7 linked regions of the Canis lupus familiaris genome follow. The protein of the gene in region 1 interacts with the protein of each later gene in a pairwise test. Links are inferred from orthologs where the notes say so. Each region holds a gene or a part of one and is shown in the gene's direction. Other genes may lie near its edges.

Region 1 (4,226 bases):
CACGTATGCCTTTAATTTTTTTTTTTTTTTTTTTTTTTTTTTTATTTGTGATAGTCACAGAGAGAGAGAGAGAGGCAGAGACACAGGCAGAGGGAGAAGCAGGCTCCATGCACCGGGAGCCCGACGTGGGATTCGATCCCGCGTCTCCAGGATCGCGCCCTGGGCCAAAGGCAGGCGCCAAACCGCTGCGCCACCCAGGGACCCCAGCCTTTAATTTTAATATGCCTATTGGAGACACGAAGGGCCCGAAGCAAGCACAGTCTGCAAGGGGAAGACCCGCGGCGTCCCGAGGTCTGCACTTTGAGGAGGGAGGCAGGAGGTACGGAACAAGTACCCAGAAGAAAAAGGCCACGACTGAGAGCAAAGCGAAGTCTGACGGACGCGGGCGCGTTCCTAGTGCGGTAGCCAGCGACGCACCCAGGCCTCCTCCCGGGGGCAGGCCTTGGGGCAGCCTCGCTCGCGCTCCAGGCTCGAGGCCCGGGGGGCGGGGCACCGGCGGGCGCGGGGGCGGGGGCGACCCGACCCCGGCCCCCGGCGCCCGCCCGCCCGCCCGCTCCCGGCCTCCCGCTCCGCGTACGACCGCAGCGTGCAGTTCCGCGGAGAAACTGCAGTGGGGAGGCCCCTCTGAGGAAAGTTCCGGGACCCGCGGCGGGGCGGCCTTACCAGCGGAACCACCGGCCAGGATCTGGCGAGAAGCCTCTCTCGCGAAGCCAGCATTGGGCTGGGCGGACATCTTCGAAAGCCCGGGGCGGCGGAGCGGAGCGGGCGAGCTCGCCGGCCTGCAAGAGCTGCTGCTGGTCCTGGCGCCGGCGGCTCCTGGGGAGGCGGCAGCCCGGCGGCCGCCCGGAGGTGGCGGCTCAGGGCGCAGGCTCACAGTGCGTGATCTCCGGCGGGTGCGAACCTGCCCGCGGCTCCCCTTCAGGGCTTTCTGTCGCCGCCGCTAGGCCCCCTGGGCGCCAAGAAGGGCCTCGGCGGAGAAAGGCCTCGCGGACGGGGTCGGTCTGGCCGCCCGCGGTGGTAGGGTTTGGTCTCCCAGCTTGGCGCCCAAGCGCTTCCCTATCGGGAGCCTCCTGCAGTTCGTCAGGCCCACGCGCCGCCGCTGATAACGCTCTGAAGAGGCGCCCCTGGCCTCGCGGCGGCGCCGGGGCGACCCTTGCCCTCCTTGGCAGGCCAGCGCTCCGGGAGGCCCTAAAGAACGGACAGGTGGATCCTGAAATTGTGGGTTCTAGAAGCCAGGCCAAGTTACAATTATCTTTCAATTAAGTTAATGTAGTACTTTGCGAAGAAATGGTTTGGGCCTGAGAGAATGTATCATACCTCATCGACTTGAGTTTTATTTACTGAGAAAAACGAAAGAAGAGGCCTTGTTACAAAAAAGTCTCTTCAGTACCCGAGGTCAGTAGTGCTTCTCCACGTATGATCTTAAGATCCAGCAACGTCAACGTAATGTGAGAGTTCCTAAGAAGGCAGATTCGTGGCCCCACGCCTATCCACTGAATCAGAATCTCTGGATACAGGGCTCAGAAACCTGCATTTTAGTAAGGTCTCCAGTGATTGTTAAGAGCGTTAAAGTTTGTGAACCACAGACCTAAGTAATCAAGCAATATAGGGAACTATCAGTATATTTTTTCTATGAAACATTTAATTATTCATACTAGCCCTTTCGGATATTTGGAACAACATAAATATTTATACTATTTTTAAACCATAAGTTACAAATGCTACGTAGAAGAGACACAATATTATGAAATTTTAGAAGAATACCTGCCACACCCCTAACAGGTAGGAGACGATACCAGTAAAAGGTAGAATGAGAGGATTTGGAACCGCTATTGTCATACTATTTCTTAAACATTGTATTTAATACTAAATCTATTCAGTTTGAACCATAGAGAATTGCCAATTTTGAAAGCCAGAAACAGTTGAATATCAGGAATGTAATATGGTTAAGACTTTATGTGCTTTCCAATTGAATGTGCAAAATACCGTAATTTCATATTTTGTTTTTATTTCTGAGGCTGAGCTGGGAAAACCTGGTAATAATGATATCTGACTGGTAAAATTGTCGAAAGTAAGGAATTAGATACACTTGGTGCTTATGGATCAGATATGCAAGATAAATTTTCTCTCATATTTGATTAAATATTTGATTAAAATGACTAAGCTTAAAATGTTTACCAAGGAACAGTTTTCAGAAATTTTTGCTGGTTAGCTAAAGTAAAAGCTTTTGAGGAATGTTTCAGTCTACTAATTAAATATGAAGTCTTGAGTGCAACATAGAATCACATATTCAACAAATATTGAGAACCTATTCTATACCAAGCACTAAAATCACAATTGCAGAGCTCATAGAAAACCTTTCCCTCATTTTCCGATGAGGAAACTGAGTTTCCCAGGATCACACCATGAGCTAATAATATTGCTGGGATTTGATTCCAGGATTCTCTCTTCTAAATGCATTGGGATTGTAGATTTAAATACTAGCCACAGGCCAAACTACATTCTCTCACAGCAAAACCTAAAATAATTAAATAATTAAATAGCCTCCAAATTAATTTCACTTATTCATATATATAAATGGAGAATTTTTTAAAGTTAAAAATAAAAAGTTGCAACTTTTAAACCCGAAGGCACGCACTGAACCAAATTCTGCATTCATTCATTGAAAGTTGACTAAGCATCAGCACTTTCCTATGTGCTGGCAATGTAACACTTAAAATCCCTGATGGAGCATATAAGCTCATGGAGGAAATCCCACCATATTGCAATTTGTGTTAATTTAGTATTAAGTAAAATTTTGTCTTCCCTAGATTATTTCAGGAAATACAATAACACTTTTAGGTCAAGATTTAAAGATAGCCTTCCTCCCTCTCCCATTGGATCAGTATAAAGATACTTTTAATCAATTCCACAAGTACCTTAATCTCTGAATATCTTATCCCAAGGAGGTGGGTGCAGGTTTGTGGTCTCACAAAGACCTCAGTCTCTCAGCACCTAGGTAGATTCAGTGAGAAGACCCTTCCAGACAGAGTTCCAAATACCCTGTTAGAAAATTGCTACCTATTTTTAATCTTTTTAGGCTAGAACTGATGTTATTGAGTAAGAAAAAAAAACAAAAACAAGGCCTGTTACCACATGTAATCTAGTCCTACACCTGTAGAATAGTTGAAGAGATAGGGTCTAGATATAACTATATTCTAGAGCTTGGGAGTCTGCTAATGTCCATCCATGGTCAACAAATACCCACTGCTGAGAGCTCTGATTATTAGCTATATCTCTTAATCTGCAGCCGAATTTGCCTGTGGCCAGTATTGGAATGCTGGGAGGTTTAGCACTGAGAAAAAAAAGAAGGTAAAATTTATTTGGCCTACTATTTCAGATACCCTAGATTTAATCTATCACATTCTCTTTCTATTATTATTTTATATGATGCTGTAATGTCCTGATGCTAGAGCAAAACTGCTACAGTATCAAGCTTATATTTTGATTTTATTTTTTAAAGATAGATAGATAGATTGATTGATTTATGAAAAAGAGAGCCCATAGATGGGGGGCAGCGAGGAGGGTGGTGAGGGTGGAGAGGGAGAAGGAGTCTTAAGCAGACTCCTCTCTGAGCACACAGACTGATGCAGGGCTGGATCTCATGAGCCTCAGATGATGACCTGAGCTGAAACCAAAGTCGGATGTTTAACCAACTGTACCACCCAGGCACCCCATGCTTATATTTTTAAGTTATAGATTATTTAGCCGATCTTGGTTGGGAATTACATAATTAAAGTATTGACTCATCTATCAGTTTGCAGAATGGCTAGAAACTAAACTGCCTGGAGCCTTAAAATCCTCACTGGACTTAAATATCTGAAAATTTGTTCAGTGTCTTTTTGAAATAAAGCTTTTGTATTGGGCCATTGGATAAGCTAATGTTCAAGACTACAATAATAGTGGCTTGAACAAGATAAAATTTATTTTCCCTCTTATATGAGCTCAGTTTATTTTAAAATGACAATATTTACTCATTTTGAAAAAAAATTCTCAAATTTAAAATATACTTCATTAGCGTCTAACTAGAAGTTGCAGAGTAACTCTGTGGCACACATACTATGACTGCACCCACATTTTAAAATACCGTTCGCTGAAAAATACATAGCCACTCTAGGCCCATAGACTTCTATTTCAGGGTCAAAACACAGACACACAAATGCAGAACTTGGTATACATGGAATCTT
Region 2 (3,930 bases), on another chromosome or scaffold:
CTCTTCCCCTCTCTGTGTGTGTCTCTCATGAATGAATAAATAAAATCTTTTAAAAAGGGGGTATATGCATAATTAGAATCACCTTCCCAAATTCTGAGCAATTAAGAAGGTCTGGCTTTCAAGGCAGGGGGCAAGGGGCCTCAGACACACACCTTTTTCGTTCGGGTGGCTAGCATGCTGCTCCATCTGGACACCAAGAAGGTGTGGTGCCTAGGGAAGAATCACAGCGTTACATGATCAACTCATGCTACCATTTTACCGCTGACAGTTTAACTTCTCCCCAGCACATCTGACGCTGCTCCAATTTAGGGAGGAAGATGTATGAAAGAAGGCACTGTTCTGCTTCATGGCCAAGTGCTCCCATGGTCCCTTCGCTGGTTTGGAAAACAGCGGTGTCCCTGACTGTTATATCCTCTCTTCTGGGCAAGTCGTCACTTAACTAAGCCCAAACCTTCAGAGTCTCCCAGTAACGGGGCTTCCCTCAATGTTTCCCTTCTGCAGCACCAGCCCTTCTCCTGTCCTCTGAGGTCACTGCAGCAGCCTGGCTCCCCATCACCTGTCATGGGCCGAGAGAAAGCGCAGGAGGGCGCGGGGTACCGGCGTGGAAAGACGGCCCGGCTGCGCGAGGAACCCCCGGGCTCGCCCCCAGCGTCTGCGGGAAGCACCTGCGAGAGGAGGGCGAGGGGCGCGCTGGGGCGCCCCGGGAAGGGCTCTGCCACTCAACCGCCCCGGGGACCAAGTTCCCGAAGTGGCCGCGCCGCGGTCCCTCCCGCAGCTAAGACTGGACAGAGACCATCGCCCCCAAAGGACCCGAGGCGCGGGCCAGCTCAGTAACTTCACCAGCGCTGTTACTCGAGAGCCTCCGATCCGGGTCCCACCCTTGTGGTTGATACACATGCGCGGTGGCGTCGCGGCCAACTGCCCCAGCCTCCGCGCTTGCGCCGACCTGCGCGCCGCACGCGGCCGGGAGCGGCCACCCTACTGCGCAAGCGCCCGGGCCCTCCCCTCGCCATCATCGTGCGCTCTCTATCTAGCTTGCTCTGCCGTTCTTGCGTAGAGGGCGGGACTAAGAAAGCCTATTGGCCGGTTTTCTTGCCGCTCAATGAGCTGGCTGCAGTGATTGGCAGCGACCCGGAGGGTAGCGGGTTTAGGTGTAAGCCCTGAGGAGGCAGCGTTTTCTGGGCTTCTCGCTGGTTCTCTCTCTCCAGAAGGTTCTGCCGGTTGCCCCAGCTCTGGGTACCCGGTTCTGCATCGCGCCGCCATGATGGGCCATCGTCCGGTGCTCGTGCTCAGTGAGTTGGGGGAAGGCGGGGCAGGAGGGGCCTCTTTTCGCCCTTTACCTCCGCGCTTTGGCGTGTTGCCCCAGCCCGGTCCCGCCCTGGTCCTGCCGCGCAGCCTTCCCGTCGTCGTTGGTTTCGGAATCCCCTTTCCTTCTCCTCTTTCTGCCCCGAGCCGGTTCCCTTAGGGCCTGGGCCGGGCCGGGCCGCTGGTCTGCGGGCACCCGGGCTCCCTCCGCCGCCACTGCACCCCTGCTCGCGTGGTTCTCGGTGCGGGCGCGGAGAACGGGATGTGGTCAGGCCTGGCCTCCCAGCTCCGGCCCTTGACCCCGCCACATCGCCTGGCTCGAGCGTTCCGTTTTTATCGGGGGTCTCGACAGTATTTTCTTGTCGGATCGGGGGCTTAAGTGACTGAAGTAGGGACGCTGCCGACGAGGGCGGGGGGGGGGGGGGGCGTCCGCGCACAGCGAGCGATGCCCTGGTAATTTCTCAGTAACGCCCTCCCGGGGTCTCCTTTCGCGGGGTCCGGCTTCGATGTAATTGGCCCCGCGGTGTCCTCCGCGCTGTGATCCTACCTACTGAGTTTTCCTGAATTTCTCTCTAAGGAGGATTCGCTCCATTGTCTTCTCCTGGGATATTCCCGTTCCTCGTGTAACTTCTGTACCTCGTCTGCAAACTCTTGTTCCTCCCTTACCGTTTTATGTATACAAAATGCAATAAAGCGGTTTTATGCCTTTTCCCTGTACCTGGGAATCACTGTTTTCACGGGAAAAAAACTTTTTTTTTTTTTTTTTTTTTTACTGAACCGGGAAAAAGCCCGTTTTTTGTTTTTGTTTTTGTTTTTGTCTTTTGTTTTTTCTGAGGAGCCCATCAGAATAGTCTGTGCAGGATTTTAGTTACTGCTACTCGAAACATGAATCTAAATTCTGAGGGTTGTGAGCGTGTAGATTTGATGGGACTGGTTGAAAATTTTACTGATTTAAATTGTAGGGAATGTGTAATTTGGAAGGAGGGAAATCGGCGGTTTGGTTGTAGCCACTGGCTTGTCTCCATTGGGAGGGCCCCAGGGGTGAGTGGTGGTTGTGTGTGAAGCCTTTTTTGGGTCTTCATTATTTTCTGGCACTAGTGACTATGACTGAGTAGGCTCCCTGTTAAAATCTGATGGTAGAGCGGTTACTGAGGCATCCTTACTTATATCCTAGCATGCAGTGATTATCTTGCAAACTGAGCCACTCTGAGAGGACAGTCTAATTCCACAGCACACTGTGGGGGCGCTATCAGTAATTGTGCTGGGATGGTTAGTATAATTCCTCCTGCCCAAATAGGAAAATAAGAACCCCCAAACTCCTTCCTTTTTTTACAGAAAGCAATGACTGATGCTTTTTTTTAGGTTACCAGCTCTTTGAGAATAGGATATAGATCCTCTTCCCAGTCAAGAATGCAGTACCTTCCCATTTTCTCATATAATCTCTAGGAGTTTACCATTCCACTAGCCCATTTATGGACCTCAGTATGAATCTTTGCTGTTAATTCGTGAATATTTGGTTAGTGGGAAAGAGATGACCAGGGTTTCATAGTTGAAGCGTTAGGGATTGTTTGTATGCCAGGGGTTGACATAAAAATGTAGCCATAAATACATGTTTTAGTGTTGTTGTTGTTTTTAAGTTTTCAAAGGTATTTTGATATGTAATAACCTACATGTATCTAGAGCATAGGATTCATTGAGGTTTGTTCTTTGTATATCTGTAAAACCTGTGTGTGCATGTGTGCGTGTGTTATTTCCAAAGGTCAGGGAGTAAATAGTTGCTACACAGTGGGTGAATCCTGGTCTATCACATTTTACTTTATCTGTTTTAGGCCAGAACACAAAGCGTGAATCTGGAAGAAAGGTTCAATCTGGAAACATCAATGCCGCCAAGGTAGCATATCATTCATTCATTTAAAGATTAGATTTAGGGCAGCCCTGGTGGCTCAGCGGATTTAGTGCCACCTCCAGCCTGGGGCGTGATCCCGGAGACCCGGGATCGAGTTCCACGTCGGGCTCCCTGCATGGAGCCTGCTTCTCCCTCTGCCTGTATCTCTGTCTCTGTGTGTGTGTGTGTGTGTGTGTGTGTCTCTATGAATGAATAAATAAAATGGTTTTTTTTTTTAAATAAAGATTAGATTTATTTATTTGAGAGAGAGAGAGCAGGAGCGGGAGAGAGGAGCACAGGGAGAGGGAGAAGCAGACTCCCTGCTAAACAGGGAACCCGATGTGAGGTTTGATCCCAGCACCCTGGGAGCTGAAAGCAGACACTTAACCAACTGAGCCACCCAGGTGCCCCAGTAGCATATCTTTTAAATAGTTTAACGTTGATGAGTTTGCTTTCAGCTGCCTTCCCTAGTATTTCTGTATTCATTTGCAATTAGGCAGAAGAAAAGTTTGACTTGCCTTTTTTGAGGGCATTTCTCTGATGGTGGTAGGATGCCCTCCCGCAATGAGTTAGGCTTAATAGTCTTTTCATATTGTGCATAATTCTATTAGCGTATATTTTATAACCTGTTCGTGTTTGTCTCACACCATGTGTGGAGTTACTTTAGGGGAAGGATTGTATTCCCTTTTATATCCCTAGCATCCATTGTAGATCCTGCCTCGGTATTCAGTTAATGTAGT
Region 3 (3,500 bases), on another chromosome or scaffold:
AATCATGTCCTCAAAGCCAATGCCCAGGTGCTTAGTAACAATAGCAGACGTCGCAGTCAGAAGCTTGGGGTGGGTGACGATGATGACTTCAGAGACCAAGGGCTAACAAGGCCCAAGGTGAGTGGCAGCAGGAGAGCTTCATCCAGGAGAGCTTTGTCCTCCAGAAGGAGGCTTCTGGCTGTGCCGTATAGGTGTCTGGCACTTGGCAGATAGTCAGGTATTTTAATGGTAACGAATACTGGAATAATGAATGAGTCCAAGAGTGAACACCTTAGATGGGCCAGGTGGTGCCAGAGCAGTGCAGTAGACAGCTCAGTGGACTGTTTCTAACTGGATTTAACTGGAAACTTGTGAGTCAGAGGTTCCTCTGATAATTCTTGAGATAATCCTGAGCATACATAAATGACACTCCATTGTAAATCTCTTTGTGATTGTCAGAAATGGTTGGAACCTTAGCCAGCCTTTTATCCAATCTCTAAATACTGCAGCTATGGATAGAGACCCAGATTCATAGAGGACCTTGCTGAAGAGAACCGGGAAATGAGTAGCAGAGATGGGATTAGAACCAAGAATTTTCATTACTGAGCCACACACATAAGTAAATCTTGGGAAACAGAAATTCCGGTTTTTCCATTGTATACTTACCGCTGCTTAAAGTGATGATTACCTTTATTTGGGCTCATAAGCCTAAGTTCCAGTGGATGTGGGGCTTTGGTAGGAAATGTCTTTTAATTGTGCCCACATTACTCATGTTGTGTGGCTACATCATGTGTCTTCCATTCCCCATACCTCCTTAACCTGTATCCCTCCATATGGAGGAAGTCTCATCTTTTTAGATGTTTCACTGAGTCTAATAGGATTCTAGGGCTTAGTACTGATGTGGCTCTTAGACATTTTTTAGTCTGGCCCCCTATATGATAACTGGGGAAGCTGAAGCCTGGATACTTAGTGTCACAGCTGGGACAGCAGTAACTTGGCCCTCTTCAATCTAGGGCCCTTGGTGCTGCACTCACTATGCCCCTGTGGCTGTGCTTGCTCCCTTTCTGGGAAACTATCTCAGAGTCTTAAAAATAAGGATTATAAGTTTATCTGTTTCCATTTAGAGTTGTAGAAAACAATGAGTCAGATTACCCATGAAGCACATTTAGAATTTGATGAGTTGTGGGCTCTGACGGGTTGTTTACATTGTTGATATTTACAGAAGGGTAATGAGAAACTTATTGTTTGTTAAGCATATTCTATTTTTATTCTCTCCAGTTGTAACTGTAAGCATTTTTGGAAATGTTTGGAAAACTGAGTCCTACGTTTCCCATTGAGATATGATCTCATTTCAGAAATGCTTTATCATCATTTCTGAAAAACATGCTAGGAAATATATTAGATGCGTTAATCCTTTTCCTTACCAGCTTTATTTGTTCTCTACTTATCATACCTAGTTCATTTATTTTATTTTTTGTTTTTTTAAATTTTTTTTCCTAATGCATTCATTTATTTAGCATTTATCCCTTGCAGCTTATGCATAAAAATACTGTAGTAAGGTCTGTGCGAGACAGAAATGAGTAACATTCCTTGACACTTGTATGTTTATATTGGATTTTTGCTAGTGGACTCCTGTTAAAGGCATTGACTTAATCCTGAAAGATACTTCCACATTCTGGTTGGGAATTGCTTCTCATGGGGCTATTAGATTAAAGTCCATAGGACAGTGCTGTGGATATGAGAGGTGCTTAGTTTGTAGTCCTGAACCTGGTTCTGTGCAAAGGAGGTGGCTGAGATGTGAGCCCTTGCAGGGCCTGCTGCTTTATGGAGGGTTCTTTAGCACCATGTCTTCAGCAGGCTGACCGCAGCTGCGGACCCTTCCCCTGGTCCCACCGAGGCTGTTGTGGCTTTCTCCATAGGTGCTGATAGTTGTGCCCTTCCGAGAAGCTGCTCTGCGGGTGGTGCAGCTCTTCATCAGCCTCCTCGAGGGTGACAGCAAGAAGAAAATAATTGTGAGCAACAAAAAGAGGTTTAAGGGAGAGTATGGCTCAGATCCTGAGGAGAGACCACCCAACCTGAAGAGGCCTGAGGATTATGAAGCTGTGTTTGTCGGCAACATCGATGACCACTTTCGGATTGGTAATTCCTTCTTGTTTTAATTCAAACCCTGAAGACCTGTGGTATGTGGTTCACATGACTAGAGGCTAGAAGCTGGGAATTGGGCATTCTCTCAGTGGGGTGAGATGTCCTCCTAACAGGACCCGGGTGCATTTGGGACATCTTGTCTGCCAGGGAAGAGAGTCTTGCCTGGCTAATAGGGTGGACACTTGGCTCAGGATGGAGCATCTCTGAGGCTGTATGTAAAAAAAAACATGCACATTTAAAGCAGAAATGTCTCAGCACATCCAGAATTAGTAGTTGATGCTACAGGGGGAGTTGGAAGTGATAGGGCCTTAGAGGGTCCCTCCGGGGAGGCTGAATAAACTGGGTGTCCATGTACAGTGGTGGACTTCCCTTCTTCCAGCCATGGAGAGTGCCTACCCTGAATTGTCTCCACTCAGGACTTACCGACTGCTACCCAACTTGTCACATCTTTGCTTGTCTCAACCAACTCCCATATACTTGGTTGGTTGTATATTGATAGAGTAAATTCTTAGGAAAATGTTTTTTCGCCACGTAAGTTCATTCAAAAAAACATGCATTAAGCGTCTACTTTGTACCAAGTACTGCTAAGAAGCTGAGGATATAGAAATAAAAGTTGTGGTTCTTGCTGTTAAGGAAATCCAGCCTATTGGGCAAACAGTACAGATTGATAAGTGCTGATCAGAGGATGCAGTGGATGATCTGGGGGTGTTTAAAGTGATTTTTGTACTAAAATTTTTGTTGTAAGGAGGGGTGGTCAGAATGCAGGAAAAGGTTTTAGAGAGGAAACTGCACTTGCAGAGGCATCAGGGTGAATAAGCCGGGTATGACCAAAGATCTACAAAGGCTTCAGCATGGCTGGAGTGTCAGGTGCACCAAAGTAGGGGGGCGGGCACGAGAGTAGATGGTTTTTTTTTTGTTTGTTTGTTTGTTATTTATTCATTTATTTTTTGCGAGAGTAGATGTTTAGTTTTAAACATGTGCAGGAGTCCTGCCAGTTACTGATATGTCAGTTTTGAGCTCAAGAAAGAAAAGTTGGGCTGGAAATACAGATCTTTGTGAAGATGGCGTTATAGCTATGGTTAGTGAATAAATTTACCCATTTATTGCCCATAAACTTATGTAAGGTGTGATTGGAATTTAGAGCCAACTCACAGACTTGTGGAAGAGCTGTTTGGATCTGAAAAGATAGATATGAGCCAGGTCAGGGCTAGAAGAGGAAGTGAGTATTAAAGAAATGGAAAGTACCAGAAGGAAAAGAACATTTTGAGGAGGATGTGTTCCATATGCTGCTTCATGCATTTGTAACAAACATTGAAGTATCTTTGATTTGGTGACCTTGGCAAGAGTCCTTTCAGTGGAGTCCTGAGAATCAGGCC
Region 4 (3,126 bases), on another chromosome or scaffold:
CTAACTCCCAATGTGGTTCCTACCACCTGTTGAGGCCACTGAGCTGGCCTGTCTTTTGTTCCCTGCCTCTAGATGTAGATAATGGCTACTACACCGTCAAGTTTGACTCACTGCTGCTGAAGGAGGCCGTGGTAGAGGGGGACAGCATCCTGCCCCCGCTGCGCACAGACCCCACGGGATCCTCAGACTCAGACAGTGGCGACCCAGATGACCCCAGCTATGCCAGAGGTATGGCGGCAGTTCAGGATCCCAGAAGCCAGGAAAGTGGGGCAAGGGGAAGTGTCGGTAGCAGTCACCCCGAGAGGCTTCCGGCTGGCAGGGCCTGTGACCCTCTCACCACATCCTTGGAGAGTATGGGGGCAGTGAGGCAGACTGTGTTCAGAAGGGGCACGTGTGACTGAGGACACGTGGAAGCCCGCCACAGGCATTGGGGGCAAATGAGAGCGAGCGTGTGGAGTCTGGGGCGGGCCCTGAGGCCTGCAGATGGAATGACCCGGCCCTAGTCTTCAGGGAGCACACGGGATGATCGCAGCTCCACACCCCGCAGGCCGAAGCCGTGTCCACTGAAGCAGGGCTGGCCGGTCGGCGTGCGAGGGACCGGCGGGGCATGGGGGCAGGAAGGAGCGGCTCCTTCCAGTGGTCTCCACGTGGGGACACCTAGTAGCTAGAGGGGAGGCTGTGTCGAGAGAGCCGGGGCAGGAGCTGTTCAGGAAGGGTAACTGGGGGGGATCCCTGGGTGGCCCAGTGGTTTGGCACCTGCCTTTGGCCCAGGGCGCGATCCTGGAGACCCGGGATCGAGTCCCACGTCGGGCTCCCGGTGCATGGAGCCTGCTTCTCCCTCTGCCTGTGTCTCTGCCTCTCTCTGTCTCTCTCTCTCTGTGACTATCATAAATAAATAAAAATTAAAAAAAAAAAAAAAAAAAAGAAGGGTAACTGGCTGAGGGCGTCCAGCCCTCCCAAGGGGTCAGGTAGGATGGAGAGGGGAGGCGTTCCTGTGGAATCTGTCCGGTGAGGTGGTAGTTCCTGAACCCCCATGTCCACGGTGGTGGAGGGGAGGACTGAGCCGCGAAGTCGTGGACTTTCTACGGGGGGAAGAGGGGAGCTCACCGCCTGAGAAGGTGGGTCAGGGGAGGGCTCGGGTGGGGAGGTTGGCCCTGCGGTGGGGGGGCTGGAGCAGACTGCGCCAGACTCTGCCGTGAGTCCTGCCTTAGTCACGTGCCGGTGACAGGTCTGGGCAATCACCGGAGAGCCTGAGGCTCAGGGCACCACGACCCTGGCCCGGAGCTGAGCTCTCGGGCTGACACTGGCTGGAGCCCAGGGTGCTCCCCGTCCAGCGGGGCCGAGCCACTGCCCTGTTTCCTACAGTGGTGGAACCCAGTGCTGCCGAGCCCGGGACCTGCAGCTCCGCTTTCGCTGGCTGGGAGGTGCACACACGGGGCATCGGCTCCAGACTCCTTGCCAAGATGGGCTACGAGTTTGGCAAGGGTGAGTGTGTGCCGCCCTGGGGAGGGGAGGGGGCCGCACAGCGGGGCTCGGGTCCAGCAGCGGTAGCGCCAGCCCCGTGTGCCCCCAGGTCTGGGCCGGCATGCCGAGGGCCGGGTGGAGCCCATCCACGCTGTGGTGCTGCCTCGAGGGAAGTCGCTGGACCAGTGCGCAGAGATCTTGCAGAAGAGGACCAAGGGCGGCAAGGCTGGCGCCCGGAGGCCCCCGAAAGGCCAGGGCAGTGGGGGTGGACGCCCTCCCCCTCGTAGCGTGTTTGACTTTCTGAACGAAAAGCTGCAGTGCCGGACCCCGGCGGCGCTGGAGGCTGCGGCGGCCCCCGCAGGGAGGAGGAGCGGGAAGGAGATGTACCATGCCAGCAGGAGTGCCAAGCGGGCCCTGGGCCTGCGACTCTTCCAGACGGAGAAGAAGATCGAGCAGACCCAGCGGGACATCCGGGGCATCCAGAAGGCTCTCGCCCGAAACACCGGCCGGTACGTGTGGGGCGAGACTTGGGGCAGGGGGCGGCCCCCTGGGTGTCGATGCCTCAGCCCTGCCGTGGGCCTCCTGCCCACTTTCCATGCTGTGCCTTCTCGCCTGCACGTGAGCTGGAGCGCGCGCTGACCCCAGGGTGGTGGCTGTCCGAGGAGGGTCTGGTGCTTGGAGGAGGAGGGCCGTGGCCACGGGTGTGGGGGCCTCGTGCCAGTGGCCCAGCAGCTCGTGCTGAACGGCAGGCTCCTCCTCAGGCACAGTGTGACGGCGGCCCAGCTGCAGGAGAGGCTGGCGGGAGCCCAGCGGGAGCTGGGGCAGCTCCAGGCCCAGGAGGCGGGTCTGCAGCGGGAACAGAGGAAAGCAGACACCCACAAGAAGATGACCGAGTTCTAGAGCCCTGTGTGCCGTGGACGGGGCTCAGGGACCCCAGCTCCCGGGTGCCCTCGGGGAGACCAGCTGTCACCCGACTAGATGCTCCTGGAAGAGGGGCTGGCCTGCTCCCAGGCTACACCCCACGGCCAGCGGACACTGCTGAGAGGACATGGGGCTGCAGGGCTCCCTTCTGGACACTTCCTTGCCACTGAGCCCACCCGCCAGTGTTTCGGGGGGTCTCCTCAGCGAGGACATTAAAGTGATTGTGTTGTGGTGTCTTTCATTGGAGGCTCGGCTGGCTTGTGGGACCTCGGGGGAGAGGGGTCCCTGCGCAGGCCCGTGGGCGCCGGCGGGAGGGCCCTGCGAGAGCCCGCTGGCCCCTGTCCGGAGGCAGGCGTCCTCTGCTGTCTTGATGGGGCTCCGCCAGCAGCTCCGAGCTGGGTCGCAGCTTGGGGGCCGCCCATGTTGCCCAGCACCCGCAAATGTGTGGGACTGAAGGGGTCGTGGTCGGTGAAGAGCCCTTGGGAAGCCCTGCTGCTGAGGCCGGAGGAAGCCCCAGGTTCTGGAGGCCTCGAGGCTGCCCCGGCCCGTGACCCACGCCGGCCCAGCTCATGGTGGGTGGAGACGCCCGGAGGTAGGCTCGGAGCAGCGCTGGCCCGCCGCACACCCCAACCAGGCAGCGTCTGCACCCCGCGCGGGCTGCAGCCAGTGGGTGAGGCTGTGATGGCGACGGCTGAGTGGCTGAGGGAGATGCAGGAGATAGATGCACAGCAGGAAGTGAGG
Region 5 (4,026 bases), on another chromosome or scaffold:
TGGGCAGACCCCTCTGGTGTCCAGGACAGGAGTTTGGTGAAGAGTAGTGGAACAGGAAGTAAGCGATTTGGAATGAAGCCTGTCACCCCCAACATGACAAAAGGAGCCTGAGGTTGGAGACTCTGCCTGTGAGTCCTCAAGAACTCCCAGCCTGAGGTGAAAAGAGGGTGATACTAACAGCAATAACCTGTCCCTGGTTTTTGTTTCCATCAGTGCCCACAGGCTCCATGGTCACTGGAAAGGAAGCTGTGTCTTTCTGAGAATGTCCGGGGTGTGGCTGGCACAAGCAACCCTGCACTGCCAGACACTTCCACTCTGCTTACTTCTCAGGGGGTATGTCAGTCCCTGAGAGCAGCTGCTGTGACTCTACTGCTGGGCCCCAGGCCCTACTGCCTCCTGCCGCTGCTGAGTATATAAGAAGGACTCCACTGAAGCTGCACCTGCTCTGCTGCCAAGTGAACTCCCTGGCCCCTGTGTACTCCACTCCACCGGGGGTGTTCCCAAGCAGTAGTGACACATACCAACGCCTTCTGGAGATTTCCATCAAGCAGCCCCCTGTTCTCCAGGAGGCTGAAATATGCATCCTGCCGTTTCTAGGCCACAGCACAGAGTCCACAGACTCTACTCAACCCATGTTGGATCCAGCTGGCCATGTCTGGAGCCCTCTGCCCTCCTGGTAAGTTTCAACCCCAGGGGCTCCTCATCCCCTACCCAACAGGTTTCTGAAACAGACCCACAAATTTGCCAAGAAGTCCCACGTGTTTCTGAACATTAGTTTAAGCTCAAGATGGAACCTTTCCCAAAATTTGCTTTCTTCCCCTTTTCAACCCAGCACACTAACACTGAACTTTTGTTTTAAAAAAACAGACTGGAATCTCTTTAAAACGGTGTATGCATTCGAAGATGCATGCTCACTGTAGGTCTCACGTTTACCAGTAAGCAAAACCGGATTCACAGCCAAGCCTGTCTCTCCCAAGCCCACCGCAGGTTGTCCCCCTCTTTGGGCCAGGGATAGTAAGCTGATGGGAGTGATACCCCGACCTTAGAGGAAAAAGAGGCGAAACCCTGGCGCAGGCTCAGGGACCTGCTTGTGCTTCCCGGGGAGGCCCGGCTACCAGCTCCGCGGACACCTAGCAGCGAGCTCGCTGCGGAACCCCAGCGCCGGCCACGCCCACTCCCGCGCTAGCCACGCCCACTCCCGCGCTAGCCACGCCCCCGCCCCTGGCCACGCCCCCGGCCCGTCCGCGCCCGCCCACTGCCGCCATTTCCTGTCCGGCCCGGGGCGTGTCAGGTCAGTGTGGCGGCGTGGCCCGGGGTCTGCCCTGCGATGTGGTGCGGATCTGGCCGTCAGCGCCGAGCAGAGGATGCTGTGTGGGACCCGGCGGCAGAAGGGCCCGTGTCGGCCGTGGCGGGGTCCTCCGCTTCCGGCATGGGGGCCGGTGGACGCTGCAGAGCGGTTGCCAGGCAACGGTGCCGTCGGCCCCGCCCCCTTGCGCGGGGCGGGGCGGGGCGGGGCGGCGAGCGGGCGGCCGGGTTCCCCGGGGCGCGTCTCCTGGGCGGCGGAGGGCTGGGCGCGGGCTGCGTGTTCTTACACCCGGGCAAGTGCTGCATCTTCCTTCTGCCCCGACCACCTGGGGCAGGTCAGCTCGCTTCACTAGGCCTCGGTGCTGTATGTTAGAGCCGGAAGGAGCCCTAGCTCGCTTAATGAAGCCACACGTCCCCACCCCCGTTTTGCAGATAAGGGCGCCTCGCCTTTACCGCTCGTTGCACGCCTGGTGCTTTCAGTTAACCCTCTCTCGGTTCCTATTACCGTTTCCATAGACTGAGTTAGGCTGAGAGAGGTTGGTGGCTTGAGCTGAGGTCACACAGCTTGCAACTGATGGAGTCTCCGGGTCGCATAACTCCCACCTTGCTCGCGGCAGAGTTCAGATTTCCAGGTAGCGGGGCCTACGCAACGGCACTACCACTAAACCTAGCCATAAATCCTAAACCTAGCCATAGATCAGAATCAGCCCAAGAGAGTTTAAAATTAGCCATACCTGGGTACCCTGGCAAGTTGACTGTGAAGCTTTGGTGCTAGGAGGAGTCTGTGTATTTAACAAGTTTTTGCCTGGTTTTTATGGTCTGTGGATGAACTTCGGGAACTACTGGGTATACCACGAAGCCTGTTTACTCACAAACCACAGAGAAGTAATACATCTAAAGTACCCAGAAGGAGAAGAGATGCTGGTGCACGGCGGCATCGAGTTCTGATCCCTTCGGCCCATTTTTAGCTTCTCTTCGCTCATCAGAAACAAGCCACAGGCTTATATTTTAAACTAAGTTTGGACAGTGAAATGCAAATACTCCAGTTCCTGATTACTAGTCGCACAGCCAGGTCCAGGCTTCGGGCTGGGTGGGCCTTTCATGACCAGAGTCAAGCGTTAGTGTCCTTCTCTATTCCTGCTAGCCTGTCAGCCTCTGGCCTCCTGCCCTCCTTTACACCAGGTCCCAGAATCACAGCAGTTGATGTTGGCTTTTTCTTTTCTTTTTTTTTTTTTTTAAGATTTTATTTATTTGTTTAAGAGAGAGAGAGAGACAGCGCCAGAGAGCACAAGCAGGGGGAACAGCAGAGGGAGGAGAAGCAGGCTCCTGGCAGAGCAGGGAGTCCGATGTGAGACTCGATGCCAGGACCCTGGGATCATGACCTGAGCCAAAGGCAGACGCTTCACCAACTGAGCCCCCCCAGCCCCCCCAGAATGTTGGCTTTGGAGAAACATTTCGCAGAGCAATTTTCCCACTGGAAGAGAGGGTTGACAGCTTTCCAGAAGCATCACCACAAATAATGAGTATCCCTTGGCCTTAATAGCAATCAGAGTGAAATAGATCACCCTGCTGTTATTCATGACATTTATGAACACAAATCCATCTTAAAAATAATCACTTGGCTCTTGGTTTTAGAAGCCTAATAAGCCTGATAAATTCTGTTTAGTGTTTTATTAGTATTAATTTCATCACTTATGCCGCCTCCCCCAGGTGTTCTGGTTCACAATGGCTGATGAGGAAGATTTGCAGAAATTTCTTAAAAATGTGGATGAAATCAGTAAGTACCAGTAAATCATAAACAAATTAAATTCTACATTGGCGAGGTGGAGTGACTGAAGAGAAATGATCACTCTGAGTTAGTTCCCAGGCTGCCTGATAGGTTTATGACTCTAAGGGAAAATGTAATTGAAATTAAACAGAAGGGGTATTGAGAAGCAAGTAATATTAGAGCCTGGGGTAGTATTTTGTGGCTGTTAATTGGTATTAGAGAAGCCATTAACATTCTGGTTGGAATTGAGACTGACAGCCCTCCTCCATATTTTGTCCCCTTCTGTGTGGAATCCACATCAAAGGAGCCTAGCTGTTCCCTCTGAGATCACTCAGGAACCTTGTAGATCATTCTGGAATCCCTCTTATTTTAGGGCAGAGCCATTTCTGATTTTGAGCTGCAGGGGCAAAATCAATTGGCTTTCCCTCAGAGTCCATCTCATTACATGGATGGCTCATGGCTGTCATACCCCAGTCTCTAGGGAAGAAGTCCTCTCCTTCCCCAGCTCAGACAGGTGGGATCTCAAAGGACCTTCTGTGATCCCACAAATCACATTCAAGAGATTCCCAAGCAACTGGTTTCTACTCAGACTTGAGGGAGCTCGTTTGATGATGGAAACAGGCAAACCAACAATCAAACAAACCTTACATATCCAATGGAAATATGTTGAAATTGCTCCTTCCGGCAGGCTGTTTGAACCCAGAGGACTAAAATGGTTTTAAAAATAGTTTGGGTAACTTGATAACAGACACATCCATAATGCATCCTTTATGATCATCCACAGGCTCTCCTCTGCCCCTCCCTAAATGTTGTTCTGCAGAGTTCTGGCCTTGGCCAGCTTGCTGCTCACATTTGTCTTCGGGTGCTCTAGTTCAGGGACATGGATTTTCCTGCAGCCTGTCTACTCACCACCCCCACATCTCTCTTGAGCCTCAGACTCTGCACCAGCTGTC
Region 6 (3,500 bases), on another chromosome or scaffold:
GTGTTTAGAAAAATATGTGTACATCACTTCACTGGTATTAGTTTTCTGTTACTTACATCTATTGAAATTGGAGATTAAAACTGGTAAGTATAATTGCTCTTTTTCTTTTCTTTTTTGGTCAACATTTGTGAATCAGAGCTTCAGGTCAGACTTTTTTTCTTGAGTGACCTTGTTTGCAACAGAAAGTTGAATCAATCACATTTTATTTATTTATTTGTTTATTATTTTATTATTTTATTTATTTATTCATGAGAGACAGAAAGAGAGAGAGAGAAAGAGAGGCAGAGACGCAGGCAGAGGAGAAGCAGGCTCCATGCAGGAAGCCCAATGTGGGACTCTATCCCAGATCACGCCCTGGGCTGAAGGCGATGCTAAACCCCTGAGCCACCAGGGCTACCTAGAATCAATCACATTTTAAATGTAAATTATTTTTACTTAGAAAAAGCCAGTTCTTAGGTTATTAAGTATTGAATATTGTGACTGCATTGTCATATTGTTCAATTTTTTTCTTCATTATAGTACAAACAAAATCCCGAAATGTTCAAACAGACAGCTCGACTTTGGGCACATGTGTATGCTGGTGCACCAGTTTCTAGTCCAGAATACACCAAAAAAATAGAAAACCTATGTGCTATGGGCTTTGATAGGGTAAGTACCAAAAAGCTTGCTTTTCTGATGTAGTTATTGATTTAAAATTATTGCTGCAAATCCTTGGCTGACAAAAGTCGTTCAGAGATGCTATAAATCAGGTTTTATAAACTTCTGTTATTATAATCAGTGATTTTTTTCCCCTTTGGCTAATTCCAGTCATTGGTTTAGAAGCTTGTTACGCACTACAGATACAAGGTGTGATTTTTCAATATGAAGACAGTGCATGATTCAGTATTTTAAAAATATGTTTTGAGATTTGATTTTTTTTGTCCCCTTTCTTCCCTACAGAATGCGGTAATAGTGGCCTTGTCTTCAAAATCATGGGATGTAGAGACTGCAACAGAATTGCTTCTGAGTAACTGAGGCATAGAGAAAGAGCTGCTGATATAGTCAAGCTTGCCCCTTCTTGAGGAGCATCAACATCTGTTATTTTTAGGATTCTGCATAGATTTCTTTTAAACTGGCATTCTTGCCTAATGATGTTATCTAGGCACCATTGGAGACTGAAAAAAAAAAAATCCCTGCTCTGTAAATAAAGCTAATTAAACGTCTGTGTAAATTTAAAAAGGGGAAATACTTTAATTTTTTTTTTCTTAATAGTGTAAAAATTCTTTGAGCTAAGCTAAAACCATGGAAAAAACATGCTACTTTAGTGTTTAGCAGTGTACCAAGACTAGCAAGAGTTTGCTTCAGGATTTCGTTGAATAATTAAGATAATATTTTGAGTGTGTCAGGGCCATTCAAATTGTTGGTGTTGCATCACAGCTACCTTAACTGTTTTTAACATGGATCCTCTGTGCCTGTGAATTTACTTGCATGCTTGTACTTGACTTCTTAGGATGGGTAGCTGAAAAGACCACCATTTTAAGCATTTGAGAATTCTTAAATATGAGATTTATCCAGAATTGAAGATGGTGACCTATTCAGAGCCTTTTTGTCCTTGTCAACAGACTAGGACACCATATCTATTTTTCCCCTTCTTACCACACACAGCTAATATTCTAATAGTAAATTTCTCTATATTTGGTGGGGAAATATGCCGAGGGACAGTATCCCTTGCTCCATTTTTAGGTCATCCATTTGGAATGTTTTGTTATAGCTCTTCACTCTTAAAACTTTCCAATGTGAGTAATAATGTAAAAATGGAGCTGCCAATTTTGTTCCTCTTGCAAAAATAGTAAATACTTGTTGCAATATTCCCAAGATTTAATGAAAGAACCTAACTTAGTTTTTCAGTGAATTTGACATCTTTCTATTTTTAAACTGATGAAATTTTCTTTGAGAACTTGAAATGATGCAATCAACTATTGGCAGTTTTTTAGCCTAATTTTGACTTTACAGAGATTACTTTATCAGGTACTTTAAAAGTCACTCTTGATTGCATTTGCCCCTATTGACACATGAAAGCTGTGTGGTGTTCTACTGTACATACTTCAGATACACATAGGAATAGAAGTGTGTTATAAATCTAGCTTTCTTTATGATGTTTCTGATAATATGAGAATTGAAAACTTTACCTTTTCTTGTACATAGTCAGACTTTCTATTCGTATTAAAGTTACATTTCATTCTAAGTTCAAAAGTTTGAAAATTATTAGTTTTGCAAGCTCAAACACTAATGTGACCATTTTATGAAGACTGAAATGGATTTATGCAGGCAGTTCTATACATAGAAACAGTTCTTATTAAATTTTCAGGACCAATGCAGAATAACAAAAATGTAATGGAATGAGAATGAATTAAAGTAAGGCTGTATATTGAAAGTCATATTTATAAAAGGTTTGCTTTCTTCAAGTGTTATTTATCCTAAATTATAATCATTAAGTGTTTGGAAAATAGTTTTGAACCATAAATTCAGCATAATTTCATTTGACTTCTCCATAATCTTAGAAGCAATAAAAGAACCATTATTAAATATATTGTAATATTAAAGATGTGAAGGTTCTTCCAAAAACTTGTAAGGCTTTCCTAATTAATAGTAAACTCTTGTAGTTGATATTATTGCATACTAAACACAAGTTGCTATGTTTTTTTCCCCTATATATTTGCTTAAGCATAAATTTCTTTATACAATCACCTCCTTTAATTGTTATAGTTTAGTTACTTTCTAAAGATGCCAAAGGAAACAAGATTTTTCTTTATTTATTTTAAATAGCTAAAACCTTGTACTTTTCTTTATATTTTGAAGTAAGGTTGGGATTGTGTGAAAATGTGGGCAGCTTTGTTCCACTATTGGTTAGTTTGTTTTGTTTTGTTTTGTTTTAGTGGAGGGTTGGTTTGGTAATATTTGGATTATTTTAAATATCAAACACATCTACCCAGTTAACTATTTGCCTATATTATCAGGGTATATTTAATTGTCCTGTGGTTAGACAAAAGAGAATGAACTCAGAGGTTACTAAGGTCAAGCATTACATACTTAGCTCTTGGAGGCAGCTATACCTTTATACCTTGCCTTTGATTTTTATGCACATTAGCCCATAGGTAATCTCATCCAACTATACTTCAACATCCTCAGTGCCCAGGAAATTGAAAAGAATAATATTTGGTATGAGAGGTTCTCCATGATGCATTTTCATTTCAAAAATTTACTTACCTCCTTTACATTAAATGTGATAATCCCTCTCTCTTTTCTGGTGCATTTCTCACCGTCTTTCAGTTTCTTGTTTTTCACTCTTCTACAGATAAATGTATTTCCCCAAACATAAAAATTAAGGCAATTTTTCCCCCTCTGGTCTTAACGTGTTTGGGAAAAGGACACTAAAAGTGCAGGTCTAGAGAAAAGATACCCTGGTGGAAATTATTTTTTATATTTCTGACTTTTTTGTGATTCATCAGTTGTAAAGGCCT
Region 7 (4,056 bases), on another chromosome or scaffold:
GGCTTAAAATATCCATTGCAGAAAACACAGGTGCAGTAACCGACAAGCCTACAAGAACCTGAGCTATCAGAAAGACTAGCTCCAGGGATCCCTGGGTGGTGCAGCAGTTTAGCGCCTGCCTTTGGCCCAGGGTGCAATCCTGGAGACCCAGGATCGAATCCCACGTCGGGCTCCCCGCATGGAGCCTGCTTCTCCCTCTGCCTATGTCTCTCTGCCTCTCTCTGCCTCTCTCTCTCTCTCTCTCTCTGTGTGTGTGTGTGACTATCATAAATAAATTAAAATTTTTTTTTAAAAAAAGAGTGGTTCCCACAGGCTCCAGCCCTAACTAGAAACGTGCTAATACTTACCGGTACTCAAAACAAAACAATCCCTAAAATCTAGCATTTTCTCCAAGAGCATTAGGCCCATACCTTTCTCTGCCACCCCACTTATATCATGTTGAGAGATTAAAAGTCCATAGTAATTAGTTACACCAACCATACAATTAAACATAGTAGGAAACGAATTCTGAAGAGGTGACGTGCCTAAACCCCAATCTACCTCCCAACAGCTGCTGCTGCTTATTTTTTTTTTTTTTTTCCCTCTAGACCGAAAATCTTAAGACGGCCGCACCAGAACCAGACACGGGCCGGTCTAACTGCATTAAGTGGCTGTAGGGAGGGGCAGGAGAAAATCTTTAAAAAAAGACGGTTTCCTCGTTGCCTATCCTTTACCTCCTCTAGCTACGCCTGTAGATTGGGTCCTAGTTCGGGCATCCTTAATTTCCACCTCGGGCAGCCCTATGGCCTCCTGGGAAGGAGGAACACAACCACTGATGGGCTCCTGGGACAAAACCTTTCACCTGCCGCCTTTCAGGACGAAGGGAAGTGTCTCCGAGCAAACAAGCGCGGAGAATCTGCAGCCCTCGCAGCGTCTCCATCACCCACACGTTCCGAAGATATCTTATCTTCATCAGCTCATGGGGGACCGCGGTCCCTGGTCCCGGCCCTCCTCCCGGTACACTCCGGGCTCCGGGGCCCTTCCCGACCCCGAGCGCCGCCCAAAAAAGTCCCCTGCGGGCCTACCAAGTCACTCCCATGGTATCGGGCCAGGAGGATGGCAGGAACAAACAATCGGATCACAGTAGTCTCTGGCCGCCCACACTAAGTGAAGACCCCTAACGAAAGCTTCGGCCGAGGGAGGTGCTCCGGAAATGACGCAAAAGGAGAGCGTCCAGTCGACGCGCCCACGAGGAACAGGGGCAGGTCTAGGCATCTCCTCGGTGACGCCTCCAGTGACGTCACTACCCAACTCTGGCCCCGGCTTTGCAGCTAGGCAAGTCCACGTTTGGCTGGGAACAGAGGTCCTCGATCTATGAAAGTAGAAAACCACCGCTCGGACTGCCACCACTTGCAGAAGCCAGCGTTAGAAGCAGTGAGTTCATTCGGGGACCGGCTGGCTCCAGGCCCCGCTCTTACGGGGTGTGGCGGCGCTGATGGCCTTCCCGGCCTCCGGACGCCGGGAGGCGCTGTGAGCTCCGCGGGGGCCTCTTGGGAGCTGGGACTTCACGGCGCAAGTGCGCTCAAGGCTTTTTTTTTTTTTTTTCCTCGTCTGTACCCCACGTGTAAACCTTTCTGGCAGAGTTCTGGAAAAAAATGCCCAAATTCAAGCCGGCTCGCGGAGCTGCAGGCCAGGAAAAACATGCGCCGCTGGCTGAGCAAATCCTGGCTGGGGACGCGGCGCGGGCAGGGCCCCGGGAGAAGCGGCGGGGTCGTGGGACCAGAGAGGAGGACGAAGAGTATGTGGGGCCCCGGCTGACCCGACGGATTTTGCAGCAAGCGCGGCAGCAACAGGAGGAACTCGAGACCGAGCATGGGACTGGGAACAAGGCCGCAGCCCCGCGCGAGCGCACCACGCGTCTGGGTAAGTGGGGGAGGGGGGTGCCAGGAAGAGGGTGGTTAGTTTTGGAGGGAGGGGGAAGTAGATAGACGGCCAAAAGGTTCTGCCAGGGGAATCCTTTGGAATAAAAAAAGTGAAATTGAATAAGGAGTCCGCATCACACCCTTGCAAAGGTGATGAAATGGGAGACCCAGCCCTGGAATAGATTCAGGGTGGTCAGAGCTCTCTATGCCCACTTGTTGCTTTAGATGCTTGCGTCTAGGCAGTCTCTAAGTTAGACCAACAAGAAGTTAATTGGTCACACTATTGAGCACTCCTAACGTTTATCCATCTGTTCTGTACATTCTTGTAGGTTGTCTAGTCCGTACTTTGCACTGTGCTAGGTAGGAGTTTAGATGGTTTTGAGTAAAAAAGGAAGCAAGATAGCCATGACCCTGACTTCAAGATCTTACAGTCTAACCTGAGAGACAATTAAATTGACGATTCGAATAATACATTTCATGATGAAAGTATAGTTTTGGGACACCTGGGTGTCTCAGTGGTTGAGCATCTGCCTTGGGCTCTGGGCAGGATCGCGGGGTCCTGGGATGGAGTCCCGCGTCGGGATCCCAGCGGGGAGCCTGCTTCTCCCTCTGCCTATGCCTCTGCCTCTCTCTGTGTGTTTCTTGTAAATAAATAAATGAAAATCTTTTTTTTTTTTTTTAAGTATAGTTTCATCTTAAAACAAGAGCATTAGTTTTGGGGGTCAGGGTTCCTAGGTTACATGACTTTGGTGCTGAAAACTAGTGGAGAGAGAGCTCTAAGCAGAATGAACGATATTGTTTAGGTGCTATAAAGAGGGAGAGAGACTAATAAAAAGATGGTCTTTTTTTTTTTTAATTTTTTAGGGTGTAAGTGTTGACCTCCGGGTCACTTAATACATTTCTCAGGTCACATCTTTCATTTGTCCTGAGAGCAGTGTTTGACACAATTAAACACTGGCCTCCTGGGTTCGGTATCTTTACTTGGCTTCTGAGCCATCCCATTCCTGTTTTAGTACTTCTTCACCTCTCAGCATCTTTTGCTGGCTCTTTTGTCCCCAGCCTTTTATCATTGATATGCCACAAGTTTGGTTCTTGGACCTCTTCTTTTCATATCTCTTCTCTGGTGCTGTCATCCATTTCACGGTTTAAGTACCATCTATTTGGTAACTGTTCCCACCCTTGTATTCTTGCCCTGATCTCTTCCATGAAAATCAGATTCTTCTATTTTAGCTGCCTTTTTGACATCCCCAATTTGAAATCTAATAGACGTCTTAAATTTATTTTTTTTAAGATTTTATTTATTTTTTCATAAAAGACACAGAGAGAAGGCAGAGACATAGGCAGAGGGAGAAGCCGGCTCCTCACAGGGAGCCCGATGCCGGACTTGATCCCAGAACTCTGGGATCCCTCCCTGAGCTGAAGGCAAACGCTCAACCGCTGAGCCACCCAGGCGTCCCAAGAGATCTCAAATTTAATGTGTCCAAAACAGAAATCCTGATCTTCTCGCCAAACCTGCTCCTCCCACTATCAGCTCAGTTAATAGGATGCTATCCTTCCATTTGATCAAGGCAAGCCTTGGATTTCTTTCTTATTCCACATTTGATATGTTAGGAAATCTTGTTGACTCGTATCTTCAAAATAGATCAGAGTCGGGCAGCCCGGGTGGCTCAGTGATTTAGCACCGCTTTCAGCCCAGGGCCTGATCCTGGAGACCCGGGATCGAGTCCCACGTCAGGCTCCCTGCATGGAGCCTGCTTCTCTCTCTGCCTGTGTCTCTCTCTCTCTCTCTCTCTCTCTCTCTCTCTCTCATGAATGAATGAATGAATGAATGAATGAATAAATAAATAAATAAATAAATAAATAAATAAATAAATAAATAAATAAATCAGAGTCAGACCACATCTCATCACCTTGGAACACAGTCCTATTTGAACCACCATAATCTCTCACCTGGATTATTTTTAGTAGCTTCCTAATTAGCATACAGTCACCCTTACAGTCCACTCACAATAATTGGATGACTTAAAAGACCTCCATGATCTGCCCCTGTTGCCAATCTGACCTCCTCTACTACTTTCCCCTTACTCTCTTCATCCATACAGGCTTTATTTTTCCTTAAACATACTAACTTAGGGCTTTTGTCCTGGTTATTCCT

Evidence for each region.
Region 2: the proteins of MIPOL1 (region 1) and CCT3 interact in binary tests that used the Homo sapiens proteins (3 or more experiments, as listed by UniProt). The two-hybrid records come from large-scale screens. The link is inferred for Canis lupus familiaris from reciprocal best matches to the Homo sapiens genes MIPOL1 and CCT3.
Region 3: the proteins of MIPOL1 (region 1) and digestive organ expansion factor homolog interact in binary tests that used the Homo sapiens proteins (3 or more experiments, as listed by UniProt). The link is inferred for Canis lupus familiaris from reciprocal best matches to the Homo sapiens genes MIPOL1 and UTP25.
Region 4: the proteins of MIPOL1 (region 1) and ZGPAT interact in binary tests that used the Homo sapiens proteins (3 or more experiments, as listed by UniProt). The two-hybrid records come from large-scale screens. The link is inferred for Canis lupus familiaris from reciprocal best matches to the Homo sapiens genes MIPOL1 and ZGPAT.
Region 5: the proteins of MIPOL1 (region 1) and TTC12 interact in binary tests that used the Homo sapiens proteins (3 or more experiments, as listed by UniProt). The two-hybrid records come from large-scale screens. The link is inferred for Canis lupus familiaris from reciprocal best matches to the Homo sapiens genes MIPOL1 and TTC12.
Region 6: the proteins of MIPOL1 (region 1) and UBE2K interact in binary tests that used the Homo sapiens proteins (3 or more experiments, as listed by UniProt). The two-hybrid records come from large-scale screens. The link is inferred for Canis lupus familiaris from reciprocal best matches to the Homo sapiens genes MIPOL1 and UBE2K.
Region 7: the proteins of MIPOL1 (region 1) and BYSL interact in binary tests that used the Homo sapiens proteins (3 or more experiments, as listed by UniProt). The two-hybrid records come from large-scale screens. The link is inferred for Canis lupus familiaris from reciprocal best matches to the Homo sapiens genes MIPOL1 and BYSL.

Annotation. Positions count from the first base shown.
Region 1 is NC_049229.1:15,875,432-15,879,657, forward strand, and holds the start of MIPOL1 (mirror-image polydactyly gene 1 protein), read left to right. Parts: upstream 1-1,426; 5' UTR 1,427-1,782; intron 1,783-4,226. Other genes in the region: SLC25A21 (mitochondrial 2-oxodicarboxylate carrier), read right to left, coding at 664-733.
Region 2 is NC_049228.1:41,548,556-41,552,485, forward strand, and holds the start of CCT3 (T-complex protein 1 subunit gamma), read left to right. Parts: upstream 1-1,130; 5' UTR 1,131-1,261; coding exon 1,262-1,292; intron 1,293-1,340; exon of another isoform or gene 1,341-1,401; intron 1,402-3,134; coding exon 3,135-3,196; intron 3,197-3,930. Other genes in the region: TSACC (TSSK6-activating co-chaperone protein), read right to left, coding at 153-210, 879-1,016. UniProt on the Homo sapiens protein: Component of the chaperonin-containing T-complex (TRiC), a molecular chaperone complex that assists the folding of actin, tubulin and other proteins upon ATP hydrolysis.
Region 3 is NC_049228.1:8,363,641-8,367,140, forward strand, and holds part of digestive organ expansion factor homolog, read left to right. Parts: coding exon 1-117; intron 118-1,898; coding exon 1,899-2,118; intron 2,119-3,500. UniProt on the Homo sapiens protein: Component of the ribosomal small subunit processome for the biogenesis of ribosomes, functions in pre-ribosomal RNA (pre-rRNA) processing. Essential for embryonic development in part through the regulation of p53 pathway.
Region 4 is NC_049245.1:48,113,882-48,117,007, forward strand, and holds the end of ZGPAT (zinc finger CCCH-type with G patch domain-containing protein), read left to right. Parts: intron 1-72; coding exon 73-228; intron 229-1,365; coding exon 1,366-1,485; intron 1,486-1,573; coding exon 1,574-1,973; intron 1,974-2,225; coding exon 2,226-2,364; 3' UTR 2,365-2,626; downstream 2,627-3,126. Other genes in the region: LIME1 (lck-interacting transmembrane adapter 1), read left to right, coding at 2,806-2,977. UniProt on the Homo sapiens protein: Transcription repressor that specifically binds the 5'-GGAG[GA]A[GA]A-3' consensus sequence. Represses transcription by recruiting the chromatin multiprotein complex NuRD to target promoters.
Region 5 is NC_049226.1:19,904,556-19,908,581, reverse strand, and holds the start of TTC12 (tetratricopeptide repeat protein 12), read left to right. Parts: upstream 1-1,226; 5' UTR 1,227-1,291; intron 1,292-1,568; exon of another isoform or gene 1,569-1,640; intron 1,641-1,721; exon of another isoform or gene 1,722-1,937; intron 1,938-3,015; 5' UTR 3,016-3,030; coding exon 3,031-3,082; intron 3,083-4,026. UniProt on the Homo sapiens protein: Cytoplasmic protein that plays a role in the proper assembly of dynein arm complexes in motile cilia in both respiratory cells and sperm flagella.
Region 6 is NC_049224.1:73,286,653-73,290,152, reverse strand, and holds part of UBE2K (ubiquitin-conjugating enzyme E2 K), read left to right. Parts: intron 1-519; coding exon 520-648; intron 649-939; coding exon 940-1,014; 3' UTR 1,015-3,500. UniProt on the Homo sapiens protein: Accepts ubiquitin from the E1 complex and catalyzes its covalent attachment to other proteins. In vitro, in the presence or in the absence of BRCA1-BARD1 E3 ubiquitin-protein ligase complex, catalyzes the synthesis of 'Lys-48'-linked polyubiquitin chains.
Region 7 is NC_049233.1:10,768,253-10,772,308, forward strand, and holds the start of BYSL (bystin), read left to right. Parts: upstream 1-1,256; 5' UTR 1,257-1,413; exon of another isoform or gene 1,414-1,620; 5' UTR 1,621-1,634; coding exon 1,635-1,902; intron 1,903-4,056. Other genes in the region: MED20 (mediator of RNA polymerase II transcription subunit 20), read right to left, coding at 1,065-1,078. UniProt on the Homo sapiens protein: Required for processing of 20S pre-rRNA precursor and biogenesis of 40S ribosomal subunits. May be required for trophinin-dependent regulation of cell adhesion during implantation of human embryos.